Linked DNA regions of Caenorhabditis elegans. The protein of the gene in region 3 interacts with the protein of the main gene of each other region in a pairwise test. Each region holds a gene or a part of one and is shown on either strand. Other genes may lie near its edges. The genes, in order: smg-3, Y61A9LA.3, smg-2 and let-92.

Region 1 (4,688 bases), on a different chromosome or scaffold from region 3:
AATTCGCCCACTGATGTCCGTGGATTCAGGATATGACCACGGAAGACGAGGTGGTGGTGGAAGATACGGCGACAGCAGCTATGATCGTGGTTATGATGACTACAATCGTGGAAGTTATGGCGGACGTCGGGATTATGGATACAATGGTGGACACGATCAAGGAGGTCGCAGTGATTATGGAAGAGGAGGCGATGATCCGCTGAGGGTATGAGTATTTTTCTGCGATTGTAAAATAAATTATTTTATTTTTCAGGTGTATATGCGTGGTCTTCCTTATGATGCTGATGATCATGCTATCGCTGCTTTTTTTTCTCCACTTCGATGCCATTCAGTCAAAATAGGAATCAACGAAACTGGTCGTCCATCTGGAGATGCTATTGCGGAATTTGACAATTACAACGATCTTCAAGTCGCTCTCTCGCGTAACAATCAAAGAATGGGAAGACGGTAATTTGAAATTTATAATCAGAACATGGAATAATTATTGTTATTTGTAGATATGTCGAACTGTTTGATAATCGTGGAGCGCCTGGTCCAATGCGTCGTCTTCTTTGGAAAGAAACAAGTGGCACGAATGCATCAGCTGCTCCAGCGCCTGATCCGATTCTTAACGGAGGAAGACGTGGCGGAGGGCCACCACAACGAGACTCTGGCTACAGGGCAGGTCCTCAAGCTATGCCACCATCATACAGAGAATCAAGGGATCCATATGGCCCACGGGAACCACGAGGATACGATATAGAACCCAAATATGAACCACGAGGCATCCCACCACGCAGTGCTCCAATTCGTGCACCACCAGCTGCGCATGGCCGGGCTCCTGATACGTGGGGAAGTTATGGAGCAGCATCTACTGGTCCGAGTTATGATCAGAGCAGTGCTGCCGGAGGTTATGCTGCAAGCTGGGATGCTTATTATGCTTCACAAGCACAGTCTGCGTATTCTGCAGAACCTGCATCCACATATCCCACAGCTGCTCATTCTGCATATGGATCAGGCGAATCATATTCGTATGGAGCATCTGCTGGAGGAGCTTACGATCGTCAAAGAGAACCTAGAGACTCACAGCCAACATGGGCTCAGCAACAACAACCGTCTCATCACAGTGCTTATGGAGGATGGGGAGCTGGAGCTGGAGATCATCGAAGTGGATATTAATTATCTTCTTTTTTTTCTTTTCACTTCTGACTTCCTTTTTTCTGTTCCTGCCAAAATCCCAGTTCTTTCGATTTTCCAGACAAATGAGCATTGTTCCTTATAATCTAGTGTATCACTTTACTTTTTTCTCTGTTCTCCGAGGTCTCGGTTATTTATTATCTTGTTCTCATGATTTTCCAACGCGAACGTCTTATTTTACCTCTGTTCTGTTCAACTATCAAAATATCATGCTTTGATCTTCCTACACAATTTTTATTAATTAATAGATTTCTGAATTTGAGACTTTCATTGTTTTTTTTTTCTGTATCCTTTTTGATATTTAATGGCTGTTCGCCCCGCGTTTTAATATGTTACAATTTGGAAATTCTTATTTCTTTTTAATTAGGAAATGAGACATGGATAATTATTTCACTTCTTGGTTGTTTCATAGAATGTTGGAATGTTCAATTATATACTTGAGTGTACACTTTATTTTGTAAAATGACGATTCTCTATCACAGTCTATGCAGATGCGGCGAAAAGTCGAGACATCATGGCTGGAAGAGCTGAAAAAGCGTGTAAAATATCAAGAAACAAGTCGTCTTCAAATGGTCGAGATTCGAGAAACTTTGCTCGATAACGAAAAAGAATTGCGAAGTTTAGATTCAACATTGAAAAAGACGACGAGTTTTATGAAAAAAGTGAAGCTTCTCAGTGCGGCCACTGTTCCACAATTAATTGAAGAATTATCGAAATTGAATTTAAGCAAATTTGTTGAGGAAATGGCGTCGGTGGGTTCTTGATTTCGAATTCCATTGAAAATCGGATAATTTTTCAGGGAATTATAGAGACAAAATTGAAGTTATCCGATATTCCGAAAGTAACAGAGCTCTGCCTTGCAATTTCTGCGAAATATTCAAACTTCAGTGAACAGATGGCTGGGGAATTCAAAAAAGTTCTTCCTGTTAAAAAGAGTGACAAAATTGCAAATGTTGCAAAATTGAGAGTGGATATTATGTTAGATTGCATTAATAAGACAGTTTTCATCTGAGAATAAATAAAATATTTCCAGCTTCCTCGCTGAACTTTGCCTGTGTGGAGTTTTCAATGAAAAGGAAGGACTTCAAGTTCTCGGTGCTGTATTAAGTTATTTGATTCAAACAGATAAGACTGATTTTGTCAATGTTGGATTATTGGCTACAGTATCTAGAACTGTTGGATGGCAAATTGCAAATATTGTGCCAATTCCAATGGATGATGCTGAAACGGTCGAGATTCAAGACGGTTGTTATCTTTTTAATCAGGAGCGTATATTCATTATCAATGTTTTCAGAAGAACTCCCTGAGTCATCAGCTCTCTCAGTTGAACAGAAAAAGTCGATTCGTGAGCTCTTCAAATCATACTACGATTCACTTTATTCGAAAACCGAGAAAACGTGTTCGGCAAGAAATAAGGCGATGAAGAGAGTTAAACGACAGGAAAGAAGCCGTGGAGACGCTGGTGATGAGGAAAAGACAACTTTGAATGATCTTCAGTCTGAATTGGATTCTCTGCGGAAAATGGTACAAAAATTAATTACCCAATAGGAAAATTTGAGAAAACCCCTCATTTTAGGCTATAGAGATATCGTCTGCAATCGGTGTGGAAATGAAACCGCTAAAAGAGGAAGCTAGTGACGATGAAGAGGATGAAGCTGCCAACTTGGAGGTTTTTTGATTCGACCAAAAACTTGAACTTATTCTATATTTCAGATGGGACGCAAACTTGCAGAAGGAGCAATCAAGCTGTGGAGTGATGAAGAGACGAAGGCATTCTACGAGGATCTTATCGATCTTCGACAGATGGTTCCCAAGGATCTTTATAAAGAATCTGAACAGAGAACTCTCAGCAAAGCGAAGATGGCTGAAAGGATTGAAGATGTCGATATGGAAAATATCAATGAATCCGGAGCAATGGATGCGAAGAGATCATCATTACAACGTGGAGAGTCTGAAAAGGAGACGACACCAGAAGATTCTCAACTTCAAGCTCTTCTCAAAGAAGCTGTGGATGCATCCGAAGAACGAGGAGTCAGCAAATGGCAAAGTTTTGTACTTGATTTGGATCATCTTGTCAGCAAGTACTCAACTGACCAAGCAGCTATTTATTTTGTTTCGAATCTGAATAATAAGGGTTGTCGCAAGAGGCTTGTGAAGCTTATGATCGATCCACCTCCGTCTCGGATCGATGTTGTTCCATTTTATGCCCGACTTGTCGCTACTCTCGAGAATGTGATGCCTGATTTGACAACTGAAATCGTAACTCAACTACTCGAGAAATTCCGCGGATTTTTGCAACAGAAACCATCGTCAGCTACTGCTATAATCAAAGTGGAATCAAAGATGGTTTGCGTGATGATGATAGCTGAACTGATGAAGTTTGGAGTAATTTCTCGTGCTGAAGGACTCAGTTGTTTGAGACAACTTGTGTATGATTTACGTGGACATTCTGTAGAAATGACAGCGACATTCATGGAATCTAGTGGTCTTTATCTGTATAGACATACTGAATCACATGCAAAAATGAAGAGATTATTGGAAGTTGTGAAGGCGAAACGAGAACGAATGAAAGATCAAAGACAAGCGGTATGTTTAGATGAACTACATCATAATATTAATTCAATTTCGATATTTCAGATGCTCATAGACAATGCGTATTTCACCTGCCTTCCACCAGAAGATTCAAAAGAAGAACGTCTTCGTTTGAAGCTAGACGAAGAGGATACTCCAATGAAACGATTTATTCGTCACATAATTCTGGATATCAATGAATCAACCGTTGATGTTTTCTTAAAATGTCTTCGGAGGCTTGAATGGTATGATCCAGAAGTTGCTGATTATGCAATTCGTTATCTCTCCTCCACGTGGCTTCTTCCCATTGAAAATCTTCAACACGTGGCATCTGCGATTGCTGGTCTCTGTAATTTGGTACATCTTCAATGGATTGGAATGGCTGTAATTGATTCAACAATTGAAACTATTCGGTATGAACGATTTTCGATAGAGATGTGCGGCACATTTACACAGAAATATATATATAACTTTTTTTGTACTTTCTGAAAAAAATTGCTCTCAATGAAAAGTTTCGAGGCATTGCCCATTGATTCAAATCAGGGGTGTGCGGCAAATTTGCCGAATTTGCCGAACTTGCCGAGCTCGACAAATTTTGAGATTTGCCGCACACCCCTGATTCAAATATTAATACTGCATCGTACGGTTGTGTTAGTTTTTGAGCAACTTCCCAAAACTTTCAATTGAAAGTAACATTATTCTTAGAAACTATACATGTTTATCTTTATTTCTATTAAAATTTCCGAAAAAAATATTTCGGCACGACAATGAGAGAATATCGTTTTGTAAATGTGCCGCGCATCTCTCGTTTCCAGTTCAAGCAGCAAGCATAAGAGTTATTTCCAGAATATCCTTGGAAAATCCTGGAGTCTACAATCAATGGGCTCATTCTGCCGCCGTTTATCTTGCAGAGCTCTACAGTTTTGAGCTGTGTGATGAAG
Region 2 (5,047 bases), on a different chromosome or scaffold from region 3:
TTTGAGAAGTTTTCAAGAAGTTTCATTATGAAATTCGGTGTTTTGAGACAATTTCAAGTCTAATAAAACAATAAAAATTTTGAATACACCACCTTTAATTCTTGAATTTTGCACAAAAAAAGCAGCGTCGCACAGAAATAGAGGCGGAGCGCGCTCTAATGATTAATCAGCTTTGAGGAGAGCGTGATTGAGCTCATTTTGAGTCCGAACCGTTAGTCCTCCTTTAAAGAGAGAGAGAGTACTGTAGTTTTCGCTACGAGATATTTTGCGCGTCAAATATGCTGCGCAATACGCATTCTCAGAATTTTGTGATCCCGAAATATTCTGTGTTCTATCAGAAAACTACCTCTGAATCTCTTTTCTCTTCTCCTCACGACGCTTCTCCTCTTCGGCCCGCTTTTCACGATCACGTTCTCGTTGACGCTCCTTCTCACGTTCTTTTTCTTTTTGCCTGGAATTTTTGAAATTTTCAATTTTTAATTATTTCTTATTCCTTCGCTCGGCACTTACAGTTCTTTCTCATGCTCTTCCTTCTCTTTTCTTCGTTTCTCTTCATGCTCCTTTGCTGCTGCTGTTGCTTCCAGCTCTTTTCTCTTATCCTCCTCCTTTTTACTAGTCTCTCCTTGCTTGTTCGAAGCGTTTTGTAGGCGATCGAACAGATCAAAAAGCCAGTCGACGAATTTCGCAGTGCTTTTTCCGATAAATAAGTTGAGATCGTCCTTCATCTGCACTTTTTCCTTCTTATTCGCAATCATTACCATAATATAATCGGGTAATTCATCGTCCACGTAGACGCCGAGCTCTTCAAGTTTGGCTCGAATCGCGGCCTGAATTAAAAAATTATTAATTTTTGCGATTTTTGAAATTTATTAACTTATTTAACGTTACCTTTAGTTTTTTCGACACTTCTGAGGTTCCTGTCCCTGTTTGAGTATTCATTTCGAACAGATTATATCTGAAAACCAAAAAAAAATCAATAAGCTAAATATCACAATTTTTGTTCCAATTTTTAAGATAATAATGTCATAGTAAGCTTTAAAAACTGATTTCAAAGTTATATTGGCTCAAGAAACTTCCGGAAGTTCACTAAAAATCACTAAAACCACAAATAATCTGGTTTTTCGAAAATATTCAAATAACGGGATAAAAACCGACACTTTGAATAAATCAGCGGCAATTTTTGTGTGAAAATTGACAGAAAATCAATAATTTAAAATAATTCAATAAATTAATTAGAAAAATTCAGGGAAAACGAATCGGAATTATACGAAAATCACGTGTATCCCTTTCTCTCTCACAATGCCAGCAGCGACAATTATTTGTCGTAAGATTCGGTGTAAAGTATGCACACACTGTGACGACAAAATGCAGATTTTTGCATAAAAGGTTTTTGTGTTTTTTAATCGATTTGCAGAGGATTTCTCAGGTTTTCTGTGTTAAAATTGAAGATTTTAAGGGTTTTTTGTCGAAAAATGCCTATTTTGTTCAATTAATCATTATAAATAACTAGAAATTAAGAAAATCGCTGGAATTTATGATTTTTCTTTATTTTTACGGACGCTTCATTTTTTTTTAAGTTTTAATCGATTTTCAGAGGATTTCAGGGTTTTTTGCCGGAAAAATGTGTATTTGGTTTATTTAATCACCAAAAATAACTGAAAATAGATTGAAATTTATGATTTCTTGTTTTTATCGATTTTCAGAGAGTTTCTTAGGTTTTCGAGCTTAAAATTTCAGATTTTCGGATTTTTTTTGCCGAAAAAATGCATATTTTGTTCATTTAATCACCAAAAACAACTAGAAATTGAGAGAATTTAATGAAATTTAATATTTAGATTTTTTTTCATTTTCAATCGATTTTTGAAGCACTTTCACAGTTTTACCAGCAATTTCCATCCTTGAAATAATTTTTTTCCAAATATTTCTAGACTGATTTCGTGGAAAACTATCGATTTTCTGTGGCTGCGTGCATTTCTGTCTGCGTCTCCCCTCGTTTTTCCTCCTCAAATCCGTTCTTGTCCACGAATTTCCGGTTTTTTTTTCCAGCTAGAGACATGCGACATTCGTCGTACGAACATGTTCCAAATCGGATAATTCCTCCGCATATTCCAATGTGAGCCGTTTTTTTTTCAAATTTTTTCCAACTTCTCGGTGTCGCAGCGGTTAGAACTTAATTATTATTTTTTTTATCACTTTTAAATAAATATTGTGGTCTTTGATTGGGCGTTTATTCATTGATTAGTACATTTATGGTCAGTGGGGCACAAATAAAAGTTAAATTTTGTGCCCCACTGACCATAAATGTACTTAAATCAACGAATAAACGCCTAATCAAAGACCACAATATTTATTAAAAAGTGATAAAAAAATAATAATTAAGTTCTAACCGCTGCAACACCGAGAAGTTGGAAAAAATTTGAGATTTTAGCTAAAAATTGGCCATTTTTTCCAAAATTTTCGAGCGGTCATAACTTTTTTTTTGAAATATTTTCAGAACGTCTCATTACGAAATTCGGTAGTTTTGGACCATTTTGGGTCTAAAAAGCAAAGTCTCAAATTTCGGTACCTCACCTCTGAGGATGAAAAAATCCGGATTTTCCGGGAAAAAAAAATAAAACTCATTTTTTTATATTTTTTCAGTGATGCTAGACGTGGCGATTTCGATAGACGTCCTGGCCCGCCGGTTCCTTCTATGAGAGCTGCAATTCTTGGAGGAAGTGATCCGTATCACGGATTTCAGCCGGTGGTGGACACCTATAATGGACCCGTAGTGGATAATTCGAGAAGACGTGGTTTCGATAAGGGGCCGTTTGGAGAGGATTTGACGACGATGGGAAGAAATGAAGGGAGACAGCCGTTGCTCAGACATGTAAGGAGCGCGATTTTGAGTCGAAAAGTTCAAAAAATCCAACTTAAAAACTCAATTTTCGCTGAAATTCCCTCCAAAACTCCCCGACCAATCAGCGATTCGCTCCGCCCATCTTTGAACCAATCAGATGGAGTGGGCGGAGTTCGAAGTCGGGGAATCCTCATTTTGAGAATTGACTTCAAAACGAGAATTCCCCGACCAATCAACGACTTCGAACTCCGCCCACTCAATCTGATTGGTTGAAGGATGGGCGGAGCGAATCGCTGATTGGTTGCGATGTGGTTTTTCTGGTTTTTAGACTTTTTTTTCGGATTTTGATGAAAATTCACGAATTAAATAGTTTCAGCCGAGACTAGACTTTGAGCACATTGGCGGAGAAATGGAAATCGCGAGAAGTCGGTCTGCATCTCCAGAAATTCAAGTTATCAGTGGTACGTTTTTAGACTGGACCCAAAATGGCCCGAAACTGCCGAAAATTTCTCAAAAAAGTGATGGCGATTCAAAAATTCGGAAAAGTAATAATAATTGTTTATTTGCCACAAGAAATAGCTACACCGGAAGACAAAGAAAAAAAGTAAAATAAAAAAGATGTGTGGACAGATAAATAAAATGACCAATTGGACCAGCTATAGCCCGGGAGGTCAAGTTGGGGGGAAGAGGGTGTCAAATGGGATAGAGCCTAGGCGCGACGCAAATGCATTTGGAGTTAACAGTTTAGGGAAACGTTTTGCTATTCGGTTCCACAACGACAAGTTAACATGTAGAAAACATTTAGACGGGACGCCACAGACAACAAGTAGATAGGGGTGACGAGTAGAGCGTGAAGCTCGAACGAACGATGATAAGGACGGGAAGTGATACTCGCTTGAAATAATTTTATGGAAGGTTCGGAGGATTTGAAGAACCCGTCTATGGTGGGTAGACAATAAATTAAATTGGGAAAGCCTGCTACTGTATGACGCGTACGATAAATTACACCTTTGAAAGACACACTTTGAGAAGCAATGGACGGACAAGACGATAATAAAGCCCGGTGGCCGTTTACCTATGCGTTAGCAACGGGAGCAGCCGAATCAACAGAGATAGGAAGTGGACGCGGTGACGAGAGAGTCACAATCTTAAGGTCGCGCACATAATAACGAATCTCGCCAGCTTGGGTATTTCTGTTATAAGCGTCAGCTCTCAACTCTCTCAGGATAGATAACATCGTTGGTCATATCGCGTCTGCAGCGGATGGGTCTTGGAAGGTTAGTGGGGCGATCAGGCAACGAACGGAGAGTTTTGGAGAAAGAGAAAATGAACGAATTGCGGTCGGCTTCAGAAGAGAAACGAATTTTTGTTGGGCGGGATAAGACTGGTTTGCGAGTTTTGACGCGGAAAGTTTGAATATGTACAGGGAGGGAGGGATTAGCGGCAATTAAATTATCGAGAAAAACCTTATCCTTGGCGGATTGTGAATCCGAGCCATCATCCGGTAGATTTTCAATCACGGCGAAATGAGTCTTCTTCTCAAACAGGGAAATGCTGGCTGCTGCTTCACGTCTTTCTGCAATGATCTCTGCTTTCTTCTCGGCTGATTGTCCCTTGAGAACATCGGCGAACAGGCGTGGAGCGGGCAAATTGGAGGTAACACGGGCAGAGCATTCGTTCGTGAGCTTGGCAACAACTACCTTGAGCTGCTCGACGGTTTGGAAGAGTTCCGATTGTTTGCTCTCCAGGGCACGACATCTGCTTTCAGCGGCGGTACGGAAGGTTCTCAAGCTCGAATTTTCCTTTTCCAATTCTTCAACACGGGTAGTGAGCAATTCAAGAGCGGTCGGGCGACCGCGCTTCCGGGTTTGCTGTTGTTTCTCCGGCGGAGAACTCGTACCGTGAGCGTCCTCCGGGAGATAAGGACCAGAGAAAGCGAAGAAATCCGTCTTCACCATAGGCACTGGGGCGGAATGAGGAGGAGGTGGTTCCGACATGACCAATGACCTGCAGCAGTTGACCGGCGTACCTCAAACTCAAACTTGGGTAATTAAACCAAATATTTTTTGCAGATGCTAAAACAATTTCCAAGTCAAAAAATTATGTATTCAGTCGGCAAGCAGCGGTGAAAGTGGTCAATGTAAAATGATGGATTACGGGAATACAAAACCTAAACTTTTTCTGAAACATTATACATATGCTGTTTAG
Region 3 (4,584 bases):
GATCAAAAACCCCTAAAAATGAAGAAAATCAATGAAATAATGATAAAAAAAATAATGCAAGCGCGCTCCACCGAACAAGTTCAATTGGCGGAAATTCAAATAGGAATTAGGGGAAAACTGAGATTTTTTCAATTTTTTCTAATGAAATTGGGTAAAAACCGCCGAAAAATCATAAAAATCGAAAGAAAATCACCAAAAATGCCCAAAAAACATGATTTTTTACAAATTTTAAGCAAAAATGTTGCCATTTTCCAATTTAACTATGAAATTTCATTGATTTCATACGAATTAATGCGGAAATTAAAGTTTTTTTGCTGGAAAATTGACAGGAAACCTGAAATAAAATTAAAAAGCAAGATTTTAGGTGAAAATTGCACAATTTTTTGTAAGTTAACTATAAAAATACGTATTTTTCTCGATTTTTCCCAGTTTTCAACCGGATTTTTATCGAAAAATTCACCACAACTGCAGCGAAAAACCAGCCGAAAAAGGGTTTAATCAAATTCCACAGCTCTCCGGCCGTCATTGACGCATTCTGATCCTCCGTCGTCCTCAAATGGTCGATGCGTTTGCTCAATTTCGGAGCACATGCCGCTTTTCGTAGGGTTACAGCTCCTAAACCGGCTCCAAACCCACAAATTCGCCATGTTTTGAGTATTGTTGTCCTTGAAATCGGTTTGTGAAGCCATGGATAGCTGGAAAAGCTGCAAAAAACGGGAAAATATATGGAAAAATGGAAAATCAGCAGATTTTTGCAGATCTTACCAGTGTTTGCTGCTTTGCACGGCGCTTTTGATGGATATTTGGGATAGTTTAGATAGAATTGACATTAAAAACCAGGAAAAATCAATACAAATCAATAAAAATCAGTTCTTATCAGCGATTTTTTCCGATTTTCCAAGAAAAATAATAATCGAGAAAACATAAACTCCGTGCGGCACACTTGCAAAAACCGTGCGCCCACCTTGCAATGAGGTGTTTTTATCATATTTTTTCATTTTTCGACCGTTTTTCGCAATTTTTTCTAACAAAACCTCATTTTTTGTATGAAAATGTTGAAAAAATATGCATTTTCATGGTTAAATTGTTAAAAATCACACAATTTTCGCTTAAAATCATCTAAAATGATGAAATATTGCTCATTTTAAAAGTTGGGGGGATTTTTCAGTTTGTTTTTCAAATTTGAGCTCAAATTTTAGGCATTTTTACCTTTTTCCGATAAAAAGTGAGCGGAAATTGAAAATTTTCAATTTTAATTGTTGAAATTTCCAAAAATGCACCCGCTTTGTGATTAAATTAACACAGTTCTCATTTTCGAAGGTTTTCCGCCAATTTTCGGCAAAAATGTTGAATTTTTACATGAAAAATCTGCAAAAATAAGTGTAAAAGTGGTAAAAAATTACGAAATATTGCTCATTGTTAGATTTTGCAATTTGAAAAATGCTTTTTTGTACTTTTTTCACCTATTTTACTCGAATACCGACAAATTTCTCATGAATGCTATCGATTTCTCATTCCAAAACCCCTCAAAAACGCACTTTTCTTCCAGTAATGGACGATTCGGACGACGAATATTCGAGAAGCCACGGGGAAACCCTCACATTTGTGGATCCCGAGGACGATGGAGTCTCTATTGGGAACACGCAGGACTCTCAGTTCGCCTATGAGCAGTTTAGTGTGCCTACGCAGAGTTCTCAGGTAGAAAATTGCCGCATTTGTGTCAAAAAATCGAAGGAAAATTCTGGATTTTGCTGAAAAATCAAGTTTTTCACATGATTTTTCAGAGAAATTTGTATTCAAAATCCTTTGAATTGATAGACTTTACACACTGAAAAAAACGATGAAAATCATGAAAAAAAAACCACTCGAAAATGGACAAAACCGATGGAATTTGTGATTTTTATTTTCAATTTTTGTTCGAAAATGAGTATAATCCCGTCAATTTGCAATTTTCAGATGCTTTTTTGCCCACTTTGCCCAATCAATTTTTCGTGCAAATTTCAAGAAAAATCGATCCAAAAGCTCGAAAAAATTAGATTTTTGTGCAAAAATTGCAAAATTTTTTGAATTTGGCCATTTTCGATTAGTTTTTCTTGTAATTTTCAAGAAAACAAACCGTCCAATTTTTTTTGGAGATGTTTTGTGATATAAATTATCTTTTCCAACAATATCAACGATTTTCTAGAAGCTCAACGTTAAAAAAGGTTAGAAAATTAGATTATACTATTACGGGAACACAAAATTCTGAGAATGCGTATTGCACAACATATTTGACGCGCAAAATATCTCGTAGCGAAAACTACAGTAATTCTTTAAATGACTACTGTAGGTCGATTTACGGGCTCGATTTTCATTTTTCCTTCGCCAAAATCGAGATTCCGTAAATCGACACTACAGTAGTCATTTAAAGAATTACTGTAGTTTTCGCTACGAGATATTTTGCGCGTCAAATATGTTGTGTAATACGCATTCTTAGAATTTTGTGTTCCCGTAATAGTATAATCTAATTTTCTAACCTTTCTTAACGTTGAGCTTGCTCTGGAAAAGATAATTTATATCACCAAAAACTTGTTTTAAAAAGAATTTTTCTCATTCCTTACTGTCAGGAATCTTGGAAATTGTGATTTTTTTTTCCAATATTTTTGTTTATCGCAATTTTCAGATGATTTTTGAGCACTTTGCCCACAATTTTTCGTGCTAATTTCAAGAAAATCGACCCAAAAGCGTACAAAAAATTCCAAGAAAATTCCAAAGCAATTTTAAAAATTCGACTCTCAAAAAAAAACACCTATTCCAGGCGACAGATCTTAATTTTAAATAAATTTTTATTCAAAATCCTCTGAAAGTGGAAATTTCAGTGGAAAAAAACCAAGAAAATCATAGAAAAGTCCCTTAAAATCAATTTTTTTTGTCAATTTTTCAAAATTCTCAACAAAAAAAAACCCATATTCCAGGCGACAGATCTGCTGCCAGGAGGAACCGATGGAACCACCAACGATTTGCCATTTCACGACGTGGAAGACGACGAGTCGGACAGTGAAAAATCACTGACAGAAGAGCAGCAGCAGCAGAAGCTGCCGGAGCACGCGTGTCGCTATTGTGGAATCTCTGATCCTCTGTGTGTCGCCAAATGCACAGTCTGCAGGAAATGGTTCTGTAATTCCAATGATGGAACGTCGGGCGGGCATATTGTTCATCATATGGTTCGGAGTCAGCATAAGGAAGCCTACACGCATAAGGATTCACCGTGTGGTGACACTCAATTGGAATGCTATCGTTGTGGTTCGAAAAACGTGTTTAATCTCGGCTTCATCCCCGGAAAAAAGGATCAAGTCGTCGTGATAATCTGTAGAACACCGTGCGCCAGTATTGCATTCCAGAATGATGATAATTGGTCGCCCGAGGACTGGAAATCTGTAATCGCTGAAAAACAGCTGCTATCGTGGATTGTTAATGTGCCCAGCGAGGAGCAGGTGGCCAGAGCTAGGAAAATCACGTTAGTGGAGGAAAATCGATTTTTGAGAAAAATTTTAAAATAATAATTAAAGGAATTTCCAACCAAAAATGCAATTTCCGAGCGATCGAATTTTAACAATTTTTAACTAAATCTCGCCGTCCATCGACTTTAAAATACCTAAATCGAGTTGAAAACGCAAGATAATTAAATTGTATACTCAAAATTTGACGGTGGTTACAAAAAAAAAATAGTTTCCAGCCGCTTTACAAGTCGGTCAAATTTCAAATTTTAACTAATTTTAGGCCATTTTTTGAACCGTCATAACTTGTTTTTTGAGAAGTTTCACTATGAAATTCGGTGTTTTCTGAGTTGAATAAAGCAATTTTAAAAAATTCGACTACACCACCTTTAATATTTCTATAGCTTCGATTTTTTTGTTGATAAAAAATCTATTCCCAGTTTCCAAAAGAAATTGAAAATTGAATTTTTTTTCGAATTTTCGTGCAAAAAATTCTCAATTTCTACCGGCATTGGTGCAAAAAGCCGGAAAAACACAAGTGGTATAGTACTTTTAAATAGCTATATATATATATATATATATATGAAAAACTAAATTTTCCAGTGCTACCCAAGCAGTCCGAATGGAAGAGCTCTGGCGTGATCACCCAGAAGCAACCGTTGACGATTTAAATAAACCGGGACTCGATCGAGAACCGGATCATGTTCAATTAAGATATGTGGATGCTCATCACTATTCGAAAGTGTTCCGTCCATTAGTTGCAATTGAAGCAGAATATGATCGAAGAGTTAAAGAATCAGCATCACAAGCAGTCGGAACTGTTAGATGGGAACAAGGACTTCGTCAATCGGTTCTCGCGTTCTTTCATCTTCCACAATTTGCTGATGGTGTCATGAAGCTTGCGAAAGGCGATGAACTTCGATTGAAACATTCTCAGACGGTTGATGGATCGGAATGGACCAAGATTGGAAGTGTTTTCAAGATTCCTGATAGTAAGGGATGGGAAAAATAAAAATAAAAATTTTGAGTAGTTTTTCTTGGAATTTTCAAGAAATAACTGTCCAAAATTTTTTTTTTGGAGATTTTTCCTGATATAAATTGTATTTTC
Region 4 (4,481 bases), on a different chromosome or scaffold from region 3:
GCTTTTTTTTTGGAATTTTTCAAAAATAAAATTAAAAAAGAAAACTTATAGAAACTGTATGTTTCCGCTTTTTTAAAGGGAGAACCAAAATTGAGAAATAGTCTCGCCGCGCGTCAGTGTTTATTTGTTTTCGTGTACGCGCCTTTAAGATTACTGTAGGAAATTTATCCAATTTTTTGTATTTTTTGAGAAAATTGGATCAACTCGAAAAAAATCACAATTAGCAGTTTTTGTTTTATTATAAATTATTTTTTGTTTTATTACAAATTATTATTACCAAGCTGTGCAAAAAAATGTCAAAGTTTTTTTTAGCAAAAACTTACTATTTACGGCGAGCCATTCATTTTTATCTTCCCCTGGTGGAAGTTTCAGAGCGTCACGAAGATTTCCACTTCCTAACGTTGAAACTGCCATTGGATTGCACCATGATGAACTTGGTTCACTCATTTTCTGGAACCAAAATAATTCGATTTAAAGTTTTTTCTTTCACCAAGACAAGTATTGTTTTATGCTTTCTACATTGCAATCGAAAATTCAAAACTTTGATGTGGACACAGTTTATTGATCATTGATGATAAACAAAATGTTGATGGGGCAAAAATAATATTATAATTAAACAAAATGGGGGAATAAAATAGTGGAAAAGGGAGAGATGTTGTCCATTCGCATTTTGTGATAATAATCATAAGAAACAAGGAAGACGGGAAGTGGTGAAAAGGATGGGATGGAGGGGAAAATAGTGTAAGAATATGGAAGGAAAAGAAAAAGAGTAAAGAAATGTTGGAAGCGAACGCCGTACAGCGCGTGCGCGGAGAAGATCGCAACTTTTCTCACACGGGGATGACTGAAAAGAATATTGATTGCTTCATTGAGTGAAGGAAGAGAACCGAGTGCTAAGGTTGACACGAGATGTCGGAGATATTTTTTCAGTAATGGCTAATGATTCCGCCAAACTCTTCCCACCACATTAATTTACATGAACAATGAAATTTTCATCCCTATCATCGCATCATTTGAGAAGAGAAGCACGGTTTGATCGCCTAAATTTTGGTAGAGGACAAGAGAATGGAACAAAAAAGATAGATGAAGAACACAACAATCATTTCGAGCAACTTCAGAAGAGATGGGATTGTCAAATAGGATGGTGTTGGGCAACGATACAAAAACAACGATATTCTATATAATGACTGAAACGATGAAAAAGAGGAAAAGTGAGAGAAAGTATTGAAATTAATTGGGTAAGGGGGATAATACGGAAAAAAAAGAAAATGAAAACGGCGATTTGAACGGAGGTATCTATCTACAGGAAGTAGTCAGGCGTTCTGCGAGTAACATGTGGTTCTCCTCTTCGAGGGGCAGGGTCGAATTGCAAGAACGAATATTTGAGATCGTCGTCCAGCTCCACCATCGCTGCCTGATTTCCACAACGATAGCAGTAGTTTGGTGCTGAGAACACTGTTACCACGTTACGATCGTGACTCCAGTTGTATCCCTAAACATATTTATATCATTGCAAAATTATATCGATTTGAAATAATTTCTCACCTCCATGACAAGTTGATGGGCCCGAGAAATTAGAGTAAGTCCATTGGAATGGTTGAACGTCTCCGAGATATCCTGACCGAATGTGTATCCTGCTCCACGTGGAGAGATTCCCCAGCCACCTCTGTCATCTGGATCAGACCAGAGAAGATCGCACATTGGTCCTTCGTGTGGAACCTTTAAAAATATATGATTTTCGGTGATGAAAATGTTAGAACTTTTCTATTATTGAAATATTTCAGGCTAGTAACTATTAAAGGTAGATTTCCACAATAACTTACCTCTTGAATGCGGTCAAGAGCTCTGATGTGATCAAGAGTATCAATAGACGGTGAAAGACCTCCGTGAAGGCAGAAGATTTGACCATCAACAAGAGCGGTAAGTGGGAAACAGTCGAAGAGATCAGTGAAGTACTTCCACACATTCGAGTTTCCATATTTCCTCAAACACTCGTCATAGAACCCGTAGACCTAACAAGAAAATAATAATTTTTGAAATAAATTGATTTTAATTACCTGAGTGATTTGTCGCGACTCGTGATTTCCGCGGAGCAGTGTTACTCGATCCTTGTATCGAATCTGAATTTTTAAAGATGTTATAATAATTTCCATACTATATTGTGATAACTGTACCTTCAAACAGACAAGCAGACTAACTGTTTCGACGGAATAATACCCCCGGTCGACGTAGTCTCCCATGAAAAGGTAATTCGTGTCAGGACTCTTTCCACCCATTTTGAACAGCTCCATCAGATCGTGGAATTGACCGTGAACGTCACCACACACTGTCACAGGGCACCGGACTTCTTGCACATTCGGCTCTTTTTCCAAGATCTCTTTCGCCTTAAAAAAATTAATTTTTGACAATCACAAAACTGTATCAACAAACCTTTTCGCATAACGTTTTGACTTGATTCTCCGATAGTGGTTTACATTCGTATAACTGCTCAATCCACTGATCTACATCGACGATTAGTGCTTTATCAAGCGGATCCGCAGATGGTGGGGCAGCAGCCATACTACTGAAAACTTATTTGTTGGTCAAGAAATTAGAAGTATAAAAAAGTTTGAATGATAAGAACGCATAGAGAAAGAAGAAAGACAACGTGGGCAGCTATAGCAACGGAGCACGAGTCGGAGAAAGCGTGAAGAGCAGAAACTCACGCTGTTGCCTCACAGTCAATACTTTTCAGCGGATTCTTCTTTCCGTATAAACTGATAGGATTGCAAGACAAAAGGGATTAAGTGCCCCTTGCTCCAACAGCATCTTATAACGAAAAAGAAAACGTCACAATTGGAGGAGAGACAGTTAATGAAATGATGTAAAGCACAAGTTTTAAAAAAGACGGAAAATCAATCGTGAACAGGTTAAGAAAAGAAAACAAGAACATAGAAATAAAATGTGTAGTTTTTATGGATTATTTTTCAATGTTACTAAATGCCAGACCGGATTAGTTACTAGTGTCAAAAAGTGTCCATTCTCAATTTTAGACGAAGAAGTGAAAGATGAACAACAATCACGCGCTGAAAAATATTCATAGGAAAAAGAGGAAATCGATAACTCGCTGTTTGCGTTTCTACCTCCCACCAAACCATACGGAATTTCATTCCGTTCCGATAAGGCAAAGAACAAATGTTGTTAATTATGTTTCACAATAGGGGTCAATCTATGTTCTAACGAGAATTAAAATATTTTAATTGTTAGGCAAACGTTGATACGGTAAAAAACCTAATTATGTAACTGAAACTCTTCAAATGAAAAAAAAAATCATAAAACTGTGTTTTTTTTGCCTTATTTTCGGTGAATCATAATCAATATTCAATGGGCAAAAGCCAATTGTAATGGGAACACGTGAGAACGGAATAAATGAATTTAACATTAGTGGAAGACATCAAAATGATAGAGAACGCGGGATGATCGAGTACGACAAAATTGTTGTTTTGTGAGGAGAGCGAGGCGGAGAAAGCAGGGCTGCAGAGAGATGCGGGGCCCGCCAATTGGGCAGTGACGGAGGATCAGACGACAGATAGCGAAGGAGCAGCGGCACTCCTGTGCTATAACCAGCCGAGGAACCAATCGCATTGCGAAAGTGACGGAGAAAGAGATGAAAAAGAAAAGATATAAGGCAGAGGAAAGAGCGACCGCATCGCAAGGGCTCGCGTCGCGGTTCACTGCGCTCTACTGAACACCCTCACTGTCTGTTGTTAACAAGACGGAGAGAAGTGAAGAAGTCCTCTTCCTGAACCGATGTTTTCGTTTATTGGCGTTATCGCTGAAGGCGACAACGACGACAGCAGAGGCGTTGTGTGCAGAAAGGAGGTGTGAAAAGGCGAGGATTTAGAGCTCTGGTGACGTGCTAGGGACGGCCAAGTTATGATAGAGGGGCGTACTGAAAAAAATGTTCGAGGTAGAATATTTCTAGAAAAATACATTTCATAACCCAGCAGAATCATGATGACTCATTTATGCGAAATTTCAGAAAAAACGGTATGTTTTAGAAGATGAAACTATCGATTGGCAACTAACGAAGGTTAATGATGTCCGATTTTTTAAATTATTATGTAACAAAATCATTGTTGAAAAAGACCGAAAACTTCAGACAGAAAAAAAAACTGGTGAGCTAATTATAATTCAAATTAAAAGTAGGAATACGATCTAGCGGAATGACAATAGTTTGTTACTAACGGCTCCAGTAACTGAATCTAGTAAACAATATGATTGAAACCGGAGATTTTCAGCATCAGGTGTTAAAGAATGACATCAAAAACATGCTAGATGATGAATTCAAGAAGGCACTTACATTTTGACGAAACTTTTTGTACATTTTTGAGCTATAAGTCGATTTTTGGAAATTTCTTTTTTGAAAGCTTTCATATCAGCATTAAAATTTAATTAGAAATGATGGTAAAATAAGAAAAAAAATGCACGTTTAATTTTGA

What was found.
Region 1: the proteins of smg-2 (region 3) and smg-3 interact in a two-hybrid assay, tested with the Caenorhabditis elegans proteins (one study listed by BioGRID).
Region 2: the proteins of smg-2 (region 3) and Y61A9LA.3 interact in a two-hybrid assay, tested with the Caenorhabditis elegans proteins (one study listed by BioGRID).
Region 4: the proteins of smg-2 (region 3) and let-92 interact in a two-hybrid assay, tested with the Caenorhabditis elegans proteins (one study listed by BioGRID).

Annotation. Positions count from the first base shown.
Region 1 is NC_003282.8:6,370,067-6,374,754, reverse strand, and holds the start of smg-3 (MIF4G domain-containing protein), read left to right. Parts: upstream 1-1,665; 5' UTR 1,666-1,667; coding exon 1,668-1,928; intron 1,929-1,975; coding exon 1,976-2,154; intron 2,155-2,209; coding exon 2,210-2,421; intron 2,422-2,470; coding exon 2,471-2,700; intron 2,701-2,752; coding exon 2,753-2,845; intron 2,846-2,889; coding exon 2,890-3,762; intron 3,763-3,813; coding exon 3,814-4,160; intron 4,161-4,593; coding exon 4,594-4,688. Other genes in the region: hrpf-2 (RRM domain-containing protein), read left to right, coding at 1-205, 254-447, 498-1,158.
Region 2 is NC_003283.11:4,569,089-4,574,135, forward strand, and holds the start of Y61A9LA.3 (C2H2-type domain-containing protein), read left to right. Parts: upstream 1-2,046; 5' UTR 2,047-2,054; coding exon 2,055-2,113; intron 2,114-2,640; coding exon 2,641-2,869; intron 2,870-3,209; coding exon 3,210-3,300; intron 3,301-4,044; coding exon of another isoform or gene 4,045-4,836; intron 4,837-5,047. Other genes in the region: sut-2 (Zinc finger CCCH domain-containing protein 14), read right to left, coding at 347-451, 511-827, 889-939; hpo-39 (uncharacterized protein), read right to left, coding at 4,045-4,836.
Region 3 is NC_003279.8:1,174,924-1,179,507, forward strand, and holds the start of smg-2 (Regulator of nonsense transcripts 1), read left to right. Parts: upstream 1-1,549; 5' UTR 1,550-1,551; coding exon 1,552-1,698; intron 1,699-2,954; coding exon 2,955-3,496; intron 3,497-4,079; coding exon 4,080-4,468; intron 4,469-4,584. Other genes in the region: haf-6 (Mitochondrial potassium channel ATP-binding subunit), read right to left, coding at 461-704, 766-830. UniProt on the Caenorhabditis elegans protein: RNA-dependent helicase required for nonsense-mediated decay (NMD) of aberrant mRNAs containing premature stop codons and modulates the expression level of normal mRNAs.
Region 4 is NC_003282.8:11,856,524-11,861,004, reverse strand, and holds let-92 (Serine/threonine-protein phosphatase 2A catalytic subunit), read right to left. Parts: upstream 2,564-4,481; 5' UTR 2,560-2,563; coding exon 2,431-2,559; intron 2,385-2,430; coding exon 2,175-2,384; intron 2,121-2,174; coding exon 2,058-2,120; intron 2,013-2,057; coding exon 1,824-2,012; intron 1,720-1,823; coding exon 1,546-1,719; intron 1,493-1,545; coding exon 1,301-1,492; 3' UTR 545-1,300; downstream 1-544. Other genes in the region: mob-1 (Mob1/phocein), read right to left, coding at 324-447.